2 linked regions of the Anolis sagrei genome follow. The protein of the gene in region 1 interacts with the protein of each later gene in a biochemical or structural test. Links are inferred from orthologs where the notes say so. Each region holds a gene or a part of one and is shown on either strand. Other genes may lie near its edges.

Region 1 (7,647 bases):
AGAGATCTTGGCCTGCACGACTGCCTTCTTCTTGGGGGTGTTGGAGGCTTTTGAGCTCAGCTCTGCAAAAGAGACCGGTGTCGCATCAATCTCGTTCCCCCCAAACCCTCAATGGCAGTCCAATACAAGCCATTCCCTGCCTATGTATGTATATATGTATGTATCTCTCTCTTAGGGGTTGGACTATGTATCTATCTATGTATCACTCTCTCTTGGAGAGAGTCCCTTCCAAGTCCAGCTACCTATCTATCTATGTATCTATCTATCTATCTCTTGGGTAGACTGGATGACCCTTGGAATCCCTTCCAAGTCTAGCATTCCATCTATATATCTATCCATGTATTTATTTATCTCTTAGGGGTTGGACTGGATGACCTTTGGAGTGCCTTCCAGGTCTAGGATTCTCCTCTCTCCCTCTCTCTCTTAGAGGTTGGACTGGATGACCCTTGGAGATATGTATGTATGTATGTATGTATGTATGTATGTATCCATCCATGTATCTCTCTCTCTTAGGGATGAGACTGGATGACCCTTGGAGTCCCTTCCAAGTCTAGCATTCCATCTATGCATCTATCCATGTATCTATTTATCTCTTAGGGGTTGGACTGGATGACCTTTGGAGTGCCTTTCAGGACTAGGATTCTCCTTCTCTCTCTCTCTCTCTCTTAGGTGTTGGACTGGATGACCCTTGGAGATATGTATGTATGTATCCATCCATGTATCTCTCTCTCTCTTAGGGATGAGACTGGATGACCCTTGGAGTCCCTTCCAAGTCTAGCATTCCATCCATCCATCCACAATTCTACCTAAGTACATACCATTCCCTCTCTCTGTCTTATGAGTCCAGCTGACTGTCCCTGTGGGTCCTCCTTTCCATCCCTGTGGCCCTCTGTTCCTTTTCTGTCCCTCCCTCCCTCGATGTGCTGAGATCCCTCACCCGCGATGTGTTGGTTGATCATCTCCTTCTCGGGCTCCTGCAGCTCCTCCCATCCCTCCAGGTCGGTGAGGTCCTCAATCCGCTTGGTGGTGGCTCGGGCGCGCTCCAGCTTCTCGAAGGCGCACTTGACGTGGTACCACTCCTTCATGTCCCCGCCGGACTCGGAGAAGGGGTTGGGCACCACCTTCCCGATGCGCACCGTGCCCTTCAGCAGCTTCTCCTTGCACTTCTTGCAGCCGGCCGTGCCCCGCTTGGCGTAGTCCACGCAGTAGCGCTGCTCCGCCATCTGGGAAGGAAGGAGAGCCAATCTCCGCAAAGGCTGTGTAAATAGCAATGGGGGGAAAGCGATCCCAGGTTGAGGCGGCCGCCTCGGGAGAAAGATCAGCCTCTGGCTCTGGTTGAAGGCCCTGGTTGTCCGTAGAAGGAGCGCCGAGAGGAGGAACGGCATGCAGCGCCCGGAGCAGAGTGACTAAAATACTCTGAAAAAGAGACACAACAACAACAATAGACCATAATACAATAATAATTCTATCCTTCCTTATGGTAGAAGGGGGTTGGTCCTTCTTCCTATCTATCTGTCCATCCTTTTCTTTCCCTCCCTCCTTTTCCTTCCTTCTTTTTCTCTTCTTTTGCTTTTCTATCTTTTTCTTTCCTTCCTTCCTTCCTTCCTTTTTTTCTTTGTGGCTCTTTCTTTCCTTCTTTCATTCCTTCTCTTTTTCTTTCATTCTTTCTTTCCTGCCTTCTTCTTTTTCTTTGTAGCTCTTTCTTTTCTTCTTTCATTTCCCTCATTTTCCCTCTCTTCTTTCTTTTCTCTTCCCTCCCTTCCCCTTTTTCTTCCCTTCTTTCCCTCATATCTTTTCCCCTTTCCTTCCTTCCCCCTCTCCTTTTTCTCTTCCTTCCTTCCTTTTCTTTTTTTCTTTGTGGCTCTTTCTTTCTTCCATTTTCCTCATAAGCCTTTCCCTCTCTTTTTTCTTTCTCTTCCTTCCTGCCTTCTCTCTTTTCCTTCTCTTTCTCTTTCTTTCCTTGATCGTTCATTCCTTCTCCATCTTTTTCTTTCTTTCCTTCCCTCCTTTCCCAGCTTTTTATTTCATTCCTTTATCCCTTCTTTCATTTCCTTTTTCTTTCATTCATTCACGCTTTCTTTCCTTTCTCCTTCTATTTCTTTGTGGCTCCTTCTTTCCTTTCTCTCTGTCCATTTCTTCCATAAACCTTTTCCCTCTCTTCTTTCTTTCTTTTCTTTTCTCTTCCCTTTCCCCTTTCCCCATCTTTTTCTTTCATTCTTTCTTTCCATCCCTATGTTTTCCTTCCTCCCTTTCTCTTCTTTATTCTTTGTGTCTTTTTCCTTTTCCCCTTTTATTCATAAACCTTTCCTTCTTTCTTTCCTTTCTCTTCCCCTCTCTTCCTTCGTTCCCTTCTTACATCTTCCTTTCTTCCCTTCTTTCATACCCCTTTCCCTTTCTTTAGCGTGTTCCCTCCTTTCCTGACCTCCTTTTCCATCTCTTTCTTTCCTGCCTTCTTCTTTTTCATTGTGGCTCTTTCTTTCCTTCTTTCATTTCCCTCCTAATCCTTTTCCTTCTCTTTTTTCCTTCTTTTCTTTCTCCTTCTTCTTTCTCTTCCTTTCCCCCTCTTCCTTCCTTCTCCCCTTCCTCCCCTTCACACTCCTTCCTCTTTCTTTCTTTCCTTCCTACTTCTTTTTCTTTGTGGCTCTTTCTTTCCTTCATAAACCTTTCTCCCTCTCTTATTTCTTTCCTTTCTCTTTCTTCCACTCTCTTCCTTCCCTCCTTTTTCCTTTCTTTCCTCCTTCCCTTTCCTTCATAGACCTTTCCCTTTTCCCCTTCCTTTTCCTTCCTTTTTTCCACATACCTTCCTTTCTTCCTCTCTCTTGCAATGGTCGCCTAGCAACAGCCAATCCCCTTCCTCCCTTCCGCAGCCATAGAGAAGAAGGAGGAAGAAGAAGAAGGGAGGGAGAAGAAGTTCCTTTTTGTTGCATGAGAGAAAAAAGTAACTTTCCCCTACTTGCATATTTCCATATCCACTTCCTCACCTTTGTTTTCCCTCTTGCAGGACCATTGCTAGGCCTCACCGGAAGTGGCTCCCGCCTCAAAGCCTCGGCTAGGCCTCACCGGAAGTGGCCGATCTAGGACTCCACACGCCTCATGTCCCACACCTAAGCCGCTCTAGGACTCCAAAGGAAAGGGAGGGATACAGAAGAAGAGTGGAAAGAAAGGGAAGTGAGTTTCCTTCCTCACTTCTGGTGGGTATGGCCTCCCCACCGGAAGTGGGCCTTCTTGGGCGCTTCTAGGCGGGGGCGGCTCTATGGGCCCGGCTTCCGGTCCTCCCAATCCTTGACCCCACCCTGGCTTCTTCTTCTCTTCATTAAAGAAGGCTTCTGCTGCTTCTCTTCCTTCTCCTTCTTCCTCTTTAGGTGAGATTAAAGGGGCGTGGCCTCTGGGCTTCCAGGCCACGCCCACTGTGGGAGGGAGGGAGGGGGAAGAGGGAAGGGAGCCATTGATCTTGCCTCCTTCCCTCCCTGCAAGGTAGGACTACTCTGATGACAAGGCCTCCCTTTCTACCCCTATTGATTAGTCCCCTAATTAGTGAGGTTAATGAGTTGGGGCCAATTGGGAAGGAAGGAAGACTGAGCCCCCCCCCTTCTCTCCCTTGCTTTCATTATTATTATAATTAATTATCATAAATTATAATAAAATTATATCATTGATAACATCCATTATAATATAATAGTAATAGGAAGTAAGAAAAGGAATGAAGAGAAAAAAGGAGAGGAGGGAAGGAAGGAAAGGGGAAAACTCCCCCCCCTTCTCTCCTTTGCTTTCATTATATTAATTATCATAAATTATTGTCATGGTTGGTCCTGAAACTCGCTGGAACACCTCAGCAAGCAAGAGTCCAAAAGTGGCAGGCTCAAATCCAGCACCTCAACCAATGGCTGATACCAAATGAGAGACTCCCTCCTGGGCACACAGAGGACTGGGCGACTTGGAAGGCGCTGAACAGACTGCGCTCTGGCACCACGAGATGCAGAGCCAACCTCAAGAAATGGGGCTACAAAGTGGAATCCTTGACATGCGAGTGTGGAGAGGAGCAAACCACAGACCACCTGCTGCAATGCAACCTGAGCCCTGCTACATGCACAATGGAGGACCTTCTTGCAGCAACACCAGAGGCACTCCAAGGGGCCAGATACTGGTCAAAGGACATTTAATCAACTACCAAACTCACAAGTTGTGCATTTTTCTGTTTGTTTGCTTTGTCCTGTTAGAAATGTAATATAATGGACTGGCTGCTCTGACACAACAAATAAATCATAAATTATAATAAAATTATATCATTGATAGCATCCATTATAATATAATAGTCATAGGAAGTAAGAAAAGGAAGGAAGAGAAAAAAGGAGAGGGTGGAAGGAAGGAAAGGGGAAAACTCCCCCCCTTCTCTCCCTTGCTTTCATTATTATTATAATAAATTATAATAAAATTATGTCATTGATAACATCCATTATAATAGTAATAGGAAGTAAGAAAAGAAGAGAAAAAAGAAGGAGAGGAGGGAAGGAAGGAAAGAGAAAAGGAATGAGGGGAAGAATAGGGCTTTTAATTAATAGGCAGGAAATGGAAGAAAAGAAAGAAAGAACGAGCCACAAAGAAAAAAAAAGAAGGGAAAGGAAGTATTAATATTTATTATTATATACTTTTTATTATTATAATTTAATAATATTTATGATTATATTTTTATTATTATTATTATTTATTAATACTGAGCTGCCGAACTTGCTGACTGAAAGTTTGGCAGTTCGAATACGGGGTGTGGGTGAAAATTTAATTATTATTATTAATCTTTATATTATTGTTGTTGTTATTATTATTACAATATTTGGAGAAGAGTGTCCTGTATTTCAGAGGAAGGAGCTGGCAAAAACATTCCTGGCCCAAGAAAACCCCATTATATTCCCTAAATCCCTAAGCAATTTGAAGCTCACAAGATGGGGAATGAATGAGATGAACTTAAACTCTTAACCCAGGAAAGCAAAAGCAGCTGTCACTTTGCTAAAGGCCTAAGTCTCCATCAGATCTTGGATGCTAACCCTTGAATTGGATTATATATTTGGAGTCTACACTGCTGTATTATCCAAAGTGGATCACTTGGATTATATGGCTGTGTCAATTAAGCCTAAGAAAAACCCAGGTGAATTGACAGGTGAATTGACCTGATATCATCTTTTCCTTTCCTTCATGATAGTCTTAGGAAGCCGAAGCCATGACGGATTCCAAGTACTTCACCACCAATAAAAAAGGTGAGATGGGTATAGAGGAATATAATATTATACCATTATTTAATGTAATTATATAATATATTATAATGTAATATAATATATTATAATGTAATATAATATTACTATAATATTATGATGCTATTATTTCATATAATAATAGTATAATGGCATTTCTGACTGGACTGTATTTCCTTTCCCTCCTTCCAAGGGGAGATCTTTGAGCTGAAAGCAGAACTCAACAATGAAAAGAAGGAGAAGCGGAAGGAAGCTGTCAAGAAGGTCATTGCGGCCATGACCGTGGGCAAGGACGTCAGGTACGGAATTATTGTAACATAATAATAATAATAATAATAATAATAATACCATCATCAAACCTTATCTGAATAAAAATTATTATTACATTACTAGCTTGGGTGCCTGGTGTTGCCCAGGTTATTTGAACAAGTCAATTTTTTTAATGGTACGAAATGCATGTGGTTGTGGGTGAACTACAACTCCCATCATGCCAATTTAAACCTGAGAAACTCCCATCAGTGCTTCAAGTTTGTTATGTTGGGCAAATTTGCTCTGGCTACATCATCACTGTGGTTCAGTGTGCTCTCTGACTCCTATAAATCATGTTGAATTCTCCCCAAACATCTCTTGTATGTTCATTATTATGATCAATTCCTGTGTTTGCTGTGTGCCATAGAAAAGAATAGGGAAGGGTTAAGGGAGAGGCAGTGGGCGGGGTCATGCAAATTCCACACCAACGGAGAGAGTAAGAAACACTGCGATGTCTGTGGTGGAGGAAATAAATCAAATCTAGGATGGAATTGTCCCCGAATGAAAACCTTCCCTTGGGTGGTGGGCAAGATGGTGTTGGTGGGAGACATTGGCAGGGCTCCTGGACATGTTTACAGCACTCACTATAACCTGCAATGTCATTGGAGGGAGGGAGGGCCTTTGGTGTCACCTGAGTGGTGGGAGATATAGCTGTTTGTGGAGGCAGGCGCTTTTCTTCCTTCCCTGCATCTCTCTATCTTTCATTCATTCTATCTTTCCCCAGCTCCCTCTTTCCAGATGTGGTCAACTGCATGCAGACAGACAACCTGGAGCTGAAGAAGCTGGTCTACCTGTACCTGATGAACTACGCCAAGAGCCAGCCAGACATGGCCATCATGGCTGTCAACAGCTTCGTCAAGGTCCGGCCCCTAAAACATCATCATGCCTGTATTATTAACCTATGAATTAGGAGGTGCATTGTTGCAACTCAGAGTAAGCTTCACCTTGCTTCCAAACACCACCACACAAGAGCTGTAGTTTTGTAGTTTATTGAGGAAAAAATCCAAGTCAAAATAAAGAACAAGCATTGCAAAGTTCCAAAGATTAAGGTTAAACGCAGAATATAGTTCCAAAAATCTTCAGGTAAAAGCAGGAGACACAATCCTATTGGCAAAGTTCAAACCAGAGTCCCAGGTACAAGCAATAAAACAATTGCCGCAAGAATCACAATGCAAGAAATCCCAAGCGTACTGCTTTCCAGGCTAAGGTTATTCCATGAAGCTTTCAGGCTAGTAGGCTACGTTGAACTGACGCTTTCTCAGGGTTTGCAAGAAGCCTAAATACCTTTCTAACATGAAAACATTAGGCTCTCATCATCATAAAAGCATTGCGATGACCTTTCACCGAGCTGGCTTCTCGTCTGCCGGCCAGACGAGAACTCTGCCTGACCCTCAGATCAAGACAAGCTTGCCGGGTCAAGTCACTATCTACACTTTCGGTATCAGTGTGGGAAGGCACCTGCTTGCTATCTCCTTCGTTAAAATTCCTTTCTGCTGGGAACGGCTGTGTTGACACTGCACTGTCGGTGGGAGCCTCAGAAGCAGGCCCAGAGATGTGAGGCACAGACACAGAGCCAGGAAGCTGAATCCCAGTAGGAATCTGAATCCCATCATCCTCATCATCAGAAAACAGCTCAGCCACAACATGCATGACATTTGCGTCATATGGTGAACCTCTTAGTAATTGTGAAATTATCATCTTTATTATCATCCTGCTTCTATCTCTTGGTTGAGACCTACAGCAACATCGTGAAATAATGTCATTTTATTTAATATAATATTTCATAATAATAATAATAATAATAATGATATCTGTATTATTAATCCACTTGGTTGAGACCTACAGTAATACTGTCAAACATATTATAAATATAATAAAGTATGGCATTGGCATTGACCTTGGCTTCTCCCCCTGCCCACCCAGGACTGTGAGGACCCCAACCCGCTGATCCGCGCACTGGCGGTGCGCACCATGGGCTGCATCCGGGTGGACAAGATCACGGAGTACCTGTGCGAGCCGCTGCGCAAGTGCCTGAAGGACGAGGACCCCTACGTGCGCAAGACGGCCGCCGTCTGCGTGGCCAAGCTGCACGACA
Region 2 (7,647 bases), on another chromosome or scaffold:
CTACTACTCAGCAGTCTTCTCCTACCAAGTTAACAGTTTCATTGGGAGCCCCCGGTGGTGCAATGGGTTCAACCCCTGTGCCGGCAGGGCTGAAGACTGACAGGTCGCAGGTTCGAATCCTGGGAGAGCGCAGATGAGATCCGTCTGTCAGCTCCGGCTCTCTATGTGGGGACATGAAAGAAGCCTCCCACAAGGATGTTAAACCATCAAAAACATCTGGGTGTCCCTTGGGCAACGTCCTCGCAGACGGCCAATTCTCTGACACCAGAAGCAACTTGCAGTTTCTCAAGTTGCTCCTGATATGACAACCCCCCCCCCCCCCCCCCCCGTTTCATTAGCCAGGAAGGTTTTGTTATGTATGTGAACAAGTGGATACTAAACAGGTTTGAAAACAAAGAATACTGATAATCTTGGAGAACCAAAACAAATTTTGGGTTCACAATACACTGTCTAGATAGAACATCTAATTACTTGTAGAACTAGCTTAGCTCAAGTTGCCAGCCTAGTGATGTTTTTTCTGCACACAAAACACCTTAAAAAACCTATTTTCCAATAATGTTGAATTAGCTGAACAAATGCAGCATATCTCAATTAATTTGTAATCAATTGGTTTATTTGGGGGTTTGGGTGGGTCTGTCAATGTATTTGTATTTGTAATTTTTATTGTATAGGCATTGAATGTTTGCCTTCTGTTGCTGCAATCTGCCCCGAGTCCCCTCAGGAAGATTGGGTGGGATATAAATAAAGCTATTTCTTTTATTTATTTATCCAGTCTCACAGTAGACAGATACATTTATGTTATCAGTCTAGTAATGTACAACATCAAGTACAATGCCAAATGCTTAGTGGTCTCAATGTCAAAGTCAATCTAAAAATAAGCCAGGCTTCAAAGCCAAGACTGATGTATGTAGTTTTATACATTAAGAACACAATTCACTTTTAAAATAAACACTAAATTTGTCTAGTATTAATACTGCATAAAGTATTTCTACAGGTTGAAATGTTTTGAATTTTTCTTTTTTATTTTAGAATATTTATTTAAATTTGCATGCACAGAATCATACAGTTAGAAGAGGCCACAATAGACATCCAGTCCAACCCCATTCTGTCATGCAGGAATGAGATGCCTTGGAGCTAAAATCCAAGTGTTAATATGAAACTCATGGACTCTGCTTTCTAACCACAAATCCAGTCACATGTCTTCTACAAACCTTCTTATGAAGCACTGGCACAAATTTTGATTTTGATTTTAGTGTTTTGAAGAAAGCTTTCTCAATGTGATTTAATTTTTCTGAGTGCACCTTCATTTACGAAATATATGAACCTATGAGCCGCCGCAAACTAGCCTCCTGCAGGAGCAAACCTTGCCAGCACGTCCCTGACGTCATGAGACTGCACCTCTCTCCCTGCCCCTTTCTCCGTGCCAGAGTGGTTTTTCCTTTGCTAGGGCAGCATTGCCAGCGTACTCTCGTTGTTGAATTCTGCCAACAACGAGAGTATGCTGGCAATGCTGCCCTAGCAAAGGAAAAACCACTCTGGCACGGAGAAAGAGGCTGAGAATGGGGTGGGGCGATAGGCGGAGTCTCATGACGTCAGGGACGTGCTGGCAAGGTTTGCTCCCGCAGGAGGCTAGTTTGCGACGGGTCTATGATTACACATCTTTACCTCATATTACCATTTGTATTAAACCAAACTGAGAATTCTGTCAATAATATTTTTCCACAAGTAACTAGAAAACAAGATTATACTCTGCAATGCCTGTCCACCAGAATAATAGACACTACTTGCATAAAAGATTTGTCCCTCTCCTCTGCTACCCTCATGGACCCAACTTCATAGAGTCACTGAGAACTCCCATAATGCCACTTTCAATGCAACCTATATATATGCTTTGTTTATTGTTTCTCACATTCCACCTCTCAAGGGCACCTAATAGAAATGTTTGGTTTCTATATTTCATGTTCTAGTACAACAATGGTTTTGAACTGTTTTCAGTGTGGAGTACATAAAACCCTCAATCACAGAGGTATTTCAAGACATCAAAACACAATATTGCCTCTTAAACTTTGATATTCACAATGAATACTTTAACCACTAAAGGCATCAACATACAACAGTAAATGCTTTACAATTGTTCTCCAAACATTTGTCTTTTTAAAACTTAAGAGTTCCGCTTTCAAAGTAAAATATAAATAGGTTTATTCAGGAGGAAAACAGCACACTTATTCACAGAGGTTTAAATGTCAAGTTTGCTTATTCTATTGAAGCTTCAGCTGGATTCCATGAGACACAGCGGAAGGTGATGAAAGTTAAAAAGAAATTTTGAGAACACAGTTAATGTTTTCCAGAAAAACACTGCCATGAAAGTGTTCTGGGAAGCAGTTCAGGGTTATGCAAGATCTTTAGTTTCAGGTAAAGGGTGTATGCGTAAAGACTTCCTTCTACTCCTTGCCCACAAGCAAGGGTGGTACAAGACTGTGCTTTTTGCCCAACCCACATTTCTGACTGGAAAATCCTACCATTAAGGTAGCAACAATGACGGTGCTACAAACAGAAAGGTTAATCCACAAGAATTAAATCCGCTCAAAGTGTATCTGTTACAGACAGGTACTGCACCTCCTCCACTGGATGATATCAAGTTTTTGTACTTCCTGTATTAAGTTACCTTTCCTCAACCAGAGGCTTAACAGAACAGCAGCAATGAAAAGGGAGTGTTGGATATACAAGCACAAGGCCAGGGTTGAATTTCTCAGTGTCTCAAGGATTTCTAGCCATAATATACAAGAAAACCATCCAACATGCCAAGAGACAGCCAAAGATTGTCTGAAACCAAAAAAACACCACCAAGAGATTCAGGAAGTTGTGCACTTCCAAAAAGCATTGCGTATAGGTATAGCCACAAAATTACACACATTCAAAGCCAGGGTTTTTGAAGTATCTACTATTGCTTTTTCAAATGAGAATAGTGACTAGCAAGATCTGCAATAGAATTCAAAGACAGTCTGGAATATTGGTATGAAAAGTGATCTTGTGACATCTTACAGACTGACAAAATATAGAAGTTGGTAGCATAAGCTGTCTTAGTTTGGCCTGAAGAAGTAGACTTGTCTTCTGTTACCATGGGCACACCTACACTGTAGAATGAATGCAGTTTGACACCACTTTAAACTGCCACGACTCAATGCTATGGAATCCTGGGAGTTGTGGTTGTGGCACCACTGCTCTTTAGCAAAGAAGTCTAAAGAGTTTGTAAAATGACAACTCTGATAATTTCACAGCATTGAGCTGTGTAAGTTCAAGGGATGTCAAACTACATTAATTGTACAGCATAGATACATCCCAACTTTGTTCTCTCATTTCAGGCTCTAAAGGGCCCTTCCAGACAGGCCCTATATCCCAGGATCTGATTGCTTTGTTTGTTTGTTTGTTTTGCATTAAACTGGCATCTGCATTGCCATATAATCTGGGATAAACAGAAAACCTGGGATCAGATCCTGGGATATAGGGCCTGTCTGGAAGAGTCCTAAGATCTTTATTGGTTGTGTAAAAAAGAGGGAGGTACTGAGGGGGAAATACAAAGATCAGCCTTAGAAAGCCCTTAGGAAAAAAACGGAGGCCCTAATTTATAAACTTCAACTGCATCAGAATCCAAGGGCCTAGAACCCTAACAGATGCAGTGACTAAGGGCCCTTCCACACAGCCCTATATCAAGGCAGGAAGTCCCACAATACCTGCTTTGAGCTGGGTTATCTGAGTCCACACTGCCTTATATCCCAGTTCAAAGCAGATAATGTGGGATTTTATTTAGTTGTGTGAAAGGGACCCAAGAGAGCATAGGAAACATGGGGAGTTCAGGGACACCAAAATAGTGTGATATATTTGAATGATCATGGGTGCCTCTACACTGAAGAATTAATGCAATTTGACACCACTAACAGCTCAATGCTATGGAATCCTGGGAGTTGACGTTTACACGGCCTTTGGCCTTTTTGTGCCTCACAAGACCACAACTCCCAGGATGCAATGTCACTGAGCCAAGGCAGCAGAAGTGGTGTCAAACTGCATCAATTTGACAGCGTAGACCCGGCCTTGATCAAAAACTAGACAGCGATCCGTTACAGCAGGCAGGTTGAAGTGTAGGAAGTTTCAGCAAGGTCTACCAACAGCGGAAGGAGTTAAGCCCTAGGGTTGGCTTGGGAGCCATGGTTGCAAGTCCTCACCCCTCACCCTTGCCTCCATCCAGAGGGAGGAAAAAAGGAGGAAGGCGACCCCACCGCCTTGGGGTGAAGATGGAGAAGGGAAGAAAGGGGCGACTGAGGCGGCAAAGGGGCTGCGGGGGAGGCTGTGGGAAGAGTTGCCCCCCTCCCCCCCCTCCACGAGCACCCCATAATACTCACGCCTTGTCCACCAGCTCCCGGACCTTCCACATGTTGAGCATCGTGTCCACGGCGGCGCCGAAAGCGTCCCTTCCGCCTAGGCCCACTGCGCCTCCCGTCCGGCCGCCGCCGCCGCCTCAGTTTCGCCAACGGTGGACGGAGAGCGAGGGAACCGTTCTTCTTCCGGAAGCCGGCCGCTCGTGGCCGCAAAGGCCGCTGGGGCTTGAAGTCCGTCGGGCGTCCAATCAAGGCGCCTGTCTCGGTGTTCCACCGTAGAGAAAGGGCTGCACGGCGCAAGGCGTGCCGGGTAACGTAGTCCGCCCGGGCTCTGTCTCCGTGGCAAAGGCCCGCCCCGCCCCGAAACTTTCCCGCAAAGCATGCTGGGGGTTTCATGTTTAAATAAGCGTCGCTTGTTGGAAGTTCCATTTACTGGGCGGGGAGGCTGTGAGGGCGGAAGGGCTTCGGAGCTCTGCTTGCCTCCGATTGAGGACAGGAAGCCGCTCCCCCCCCTCTCTCTGGAAAGTGGTTTGGCCTCATTGGCCTGCAGGCAAAGGAAAGGGAGCCTTGGCTGTGGGGGGAGCCTTGGCGCAAGGAGAGCTGGAATACGTTGCGACCAGGCCTAAATACTTGTGGATACGGAACATACAGTAGACTACTGTATTTATATACAGTAGAGCAGGGGTCCTCAAACTGTTTAAACAGAGGGCCAGGTCACAGTTCCTCAAACTGTTGGAGGGCCGGATTATAATTTGGAGAAAAAAATGAATGAATCCCTATGCACCCTGGACATATCTTATTTGTAGTGCCAAAAAACACCTTAAAACAATTCAATAATTAAAATGAAGAACAATTTTGGGTTGTTGTAGGTTTTTTCGGGCTATATGGCCATGTTCTAGAGGCATTCTCTCCTGACATTTCGCCTGCATCTATGGCAAGCATCCTCAGAGGTAGTGAGGTCTGTTGGACGTAGGAAAATGGGTTTATATACCTGTGGAATGACCAGGGTGGGACAAAGGACTCTCACCTCTCAACAAAAGATTCCCCCCAGGCACTTCCAAGCCATTAAATGCTAATCAAGGTGGTCAGTTGAAACATTCACACCTAGCTCCAGCAGACAAAAATCCTTTGTAAGCTTTTCCTTAATCCTTCCTTATTATCCAACATTTTTGTTTATCCAACGTTCTGCCAGCCTGTTTACATTGGATAAATGGGACTCTACTGTATATACATGTGCACATATAAATACACACACATATGCTTACAAAATAACACATCTATGTGGAGCTTGTTTCCCAAAGGAATAATTTTTTTAAAAAAAAACATGCCGAGGAGATATTCTTTTTTGCTATAAAAGGCAAATTTTATACATTTCCAGCAGTTTTGATCTGTACATTATATTTTACTCCTAGCCAACAATGTCCTGACGCATATTACTCGGATTTTCAAAATTGTACTTGATACCTTTTGAACATAAATGCCACAAATACATATTTATTTATGACATTTATATGCTGCTTTTCTCACCCCGAAGGGGACTCAGAGCGGCTTACAAGATGTATATATACATACAATATATTATATTATTAGCATAGCGCAATAGCAGTATGATATATTATTATATTGTACTATATAATTATATTGTAATATTATTAGTAATATTACATGTAATATAAAATATATAATTATAATACTGTATTATTAGTATTACGAGGGTTGGAACTTTAATAAGATGCCATGCAACAAAACCAAAGAATGTCACATATACCACACGTTAGTTACATACCAACCTTACCTCTGAGCAAAAAGACTCACCCTTCCTATGTCACGCACATGCAGAGTGACACGAAGAACTGAGCCTCGTATTAGCTTGTGGTCTAAAGTAAGTGTTGTCACTTACTTTTGAAGGAAGGTCTGGGCATGAAAATTGCTTCCCGATGGGTTCCATATCATTTGATAGAAATGCAGAAATGGCTACGATACGATGCTTCTCATACCCACTTGAAGCACTATGAGTGCAAAGGAGAGGCTCTTTTGCCATATCATTACGCTGGATAAGACTTGGGCCAGATTGTACCAGCCAGAACTGAAACGCCAATCGAACGAATGGTGTCATTACGGGTCACCACAAAGTTTGAAATTTTGTCAGAACCCCAGCAATGTGAAAGTTATGGAGATTCTCATGTACCACTGTGATGGTGTCATCCCAACACATACCATTCCCCCACATCAGATCATCAATGCGTAGAATTACTGCTCATTTTTGGAACACCATCTCAGACCAGCTTTGAAAAAAAAGGGGTGACACTTTCTCCAGAACGCCCCTACCATTTTGCATGACAGTGCTTGGCCACATGCAGCACAAGCTGTGGCTGATTTGCTTGATCAATGGGGCTGGGAAGTTCTGTACCATCCACCATACTCCCCAGACTTAAGCCCTTATGGCTTTGACTTAATTCCTAAGATGAAGGAACCATTTCATGGCATTCACTTCAGAACTGATCAGAAATTCTTGTGGCAGTAGACCACTCCATTCGAACTATCAACAGAACAGGCGCTGCAACAGGTGTCCTACGACTTCCACATCGTTGGAAACGGATTGTACACAATGCTGGTAACTGTACTGCAGGACTGTAAAGCTTGTTGACATGTATCACTTTGTATTAAATGTAAACAAATAGTTGCCACTATTAAAGTTCCAACCCTCGTATACTGTATTACATTATAATATAAATATTATATGTCTATACAATATATTATATTATTAGTATAGTGGGTTAATTGACTACTTCTAACAATGGGAAGGTAGAAGACACAATGGCATTTCTACAGCATTGTGCAATAGGAACCATCACCTTTGGTTTGCCTCTGTCATGTGATAAACTCCACAGTATAGATTTGGGAAACTAAGGGTGCATCTACACTGTAGAAGTAATGCAGTTTGACACCACTTTCACTGCCAAGACTCAATGCTATGCAATCATGGAAGTTGTAGTTTAACGAGACACCAGAACACTTATAAAACTACAACTCCCATGATTCCATGACATTGAGCCACAGCAGTTAAAGTGTCAAACTATTCTACAGTTAAATGCACCCTAGGTCAGTAGTAATAAATTATGTTTCTTTTGTTTATTCTGTATTTTTTCATCCTATGCTTACTGAGAATCATAGAGTTGAAAGAGACTTTGTGGTCCATCCAGTCCAAACCCCTGCCAAGATCAGGCAAATCGCATTCAAAGCACCCCCAACAGATGGCCACACAGCCTCTGTT

Evidence for each region. The genes of interacting proteins can lie anywhere in the genome.
Region 2: the proteins of AP2B1 (region 1) and CLINT1 form a complex in vitro, tested with the Homo sapiens proteins (2 studies listed by BioGRID and IntAct, with this or other methods). The link is inferred for Anolis sagrei from reciprocal best matches to the Homo sapiens genes AP2B1 and CLINT1.

The regions. Positions count from the first base shown.
Region 1 is NC_090031.1:28,421,913-28,429,559, forward strand, and holds the start of AP2B1 (AP-2 complex subunit beta), read left to right. Parts: upstream 1-3,246; 5' UTR 3,247-3,362; intron 3,363-3,423; exon of another isoform or gene 3,424-3,474; intron 3,475-5,194; 5' UTR 5,195-5,212; coding exon 5,213-5,249; intron 5,250-5,436; coding exon 5,437-5,542; intron 5,543-6,276; coding exon 6,277-6,412; intron 6,413-7,475; coding exon 7,476-7,647. UniProt on the Homo sapiens protein: Component of the adaptor protein complex 2 (AP-2). Adaptor protein complexes function in protein transport via transport vesicles in different membrane traffic pathways.
Region 2 is NC_090022.1:80,156,547-80,164,193, reverse strand, and holds the start of CLINT1 (clathrin interactor 1), read right to left. Parts: upstream 4,629-7,647; 5' UTR 4,439-4,628; coding exon 4,398-4,438; intron 1-4,397. UniProt on the Homo sapiens protein: Binds to membranes enriched in phosphatidylinositol 4,5-bisphosphate (PtdIns(4,5)P2). May have a role in transport via clathrin-coated vesicles from the trans-Golgi network to endosomes. Stimulates clathrin assembly.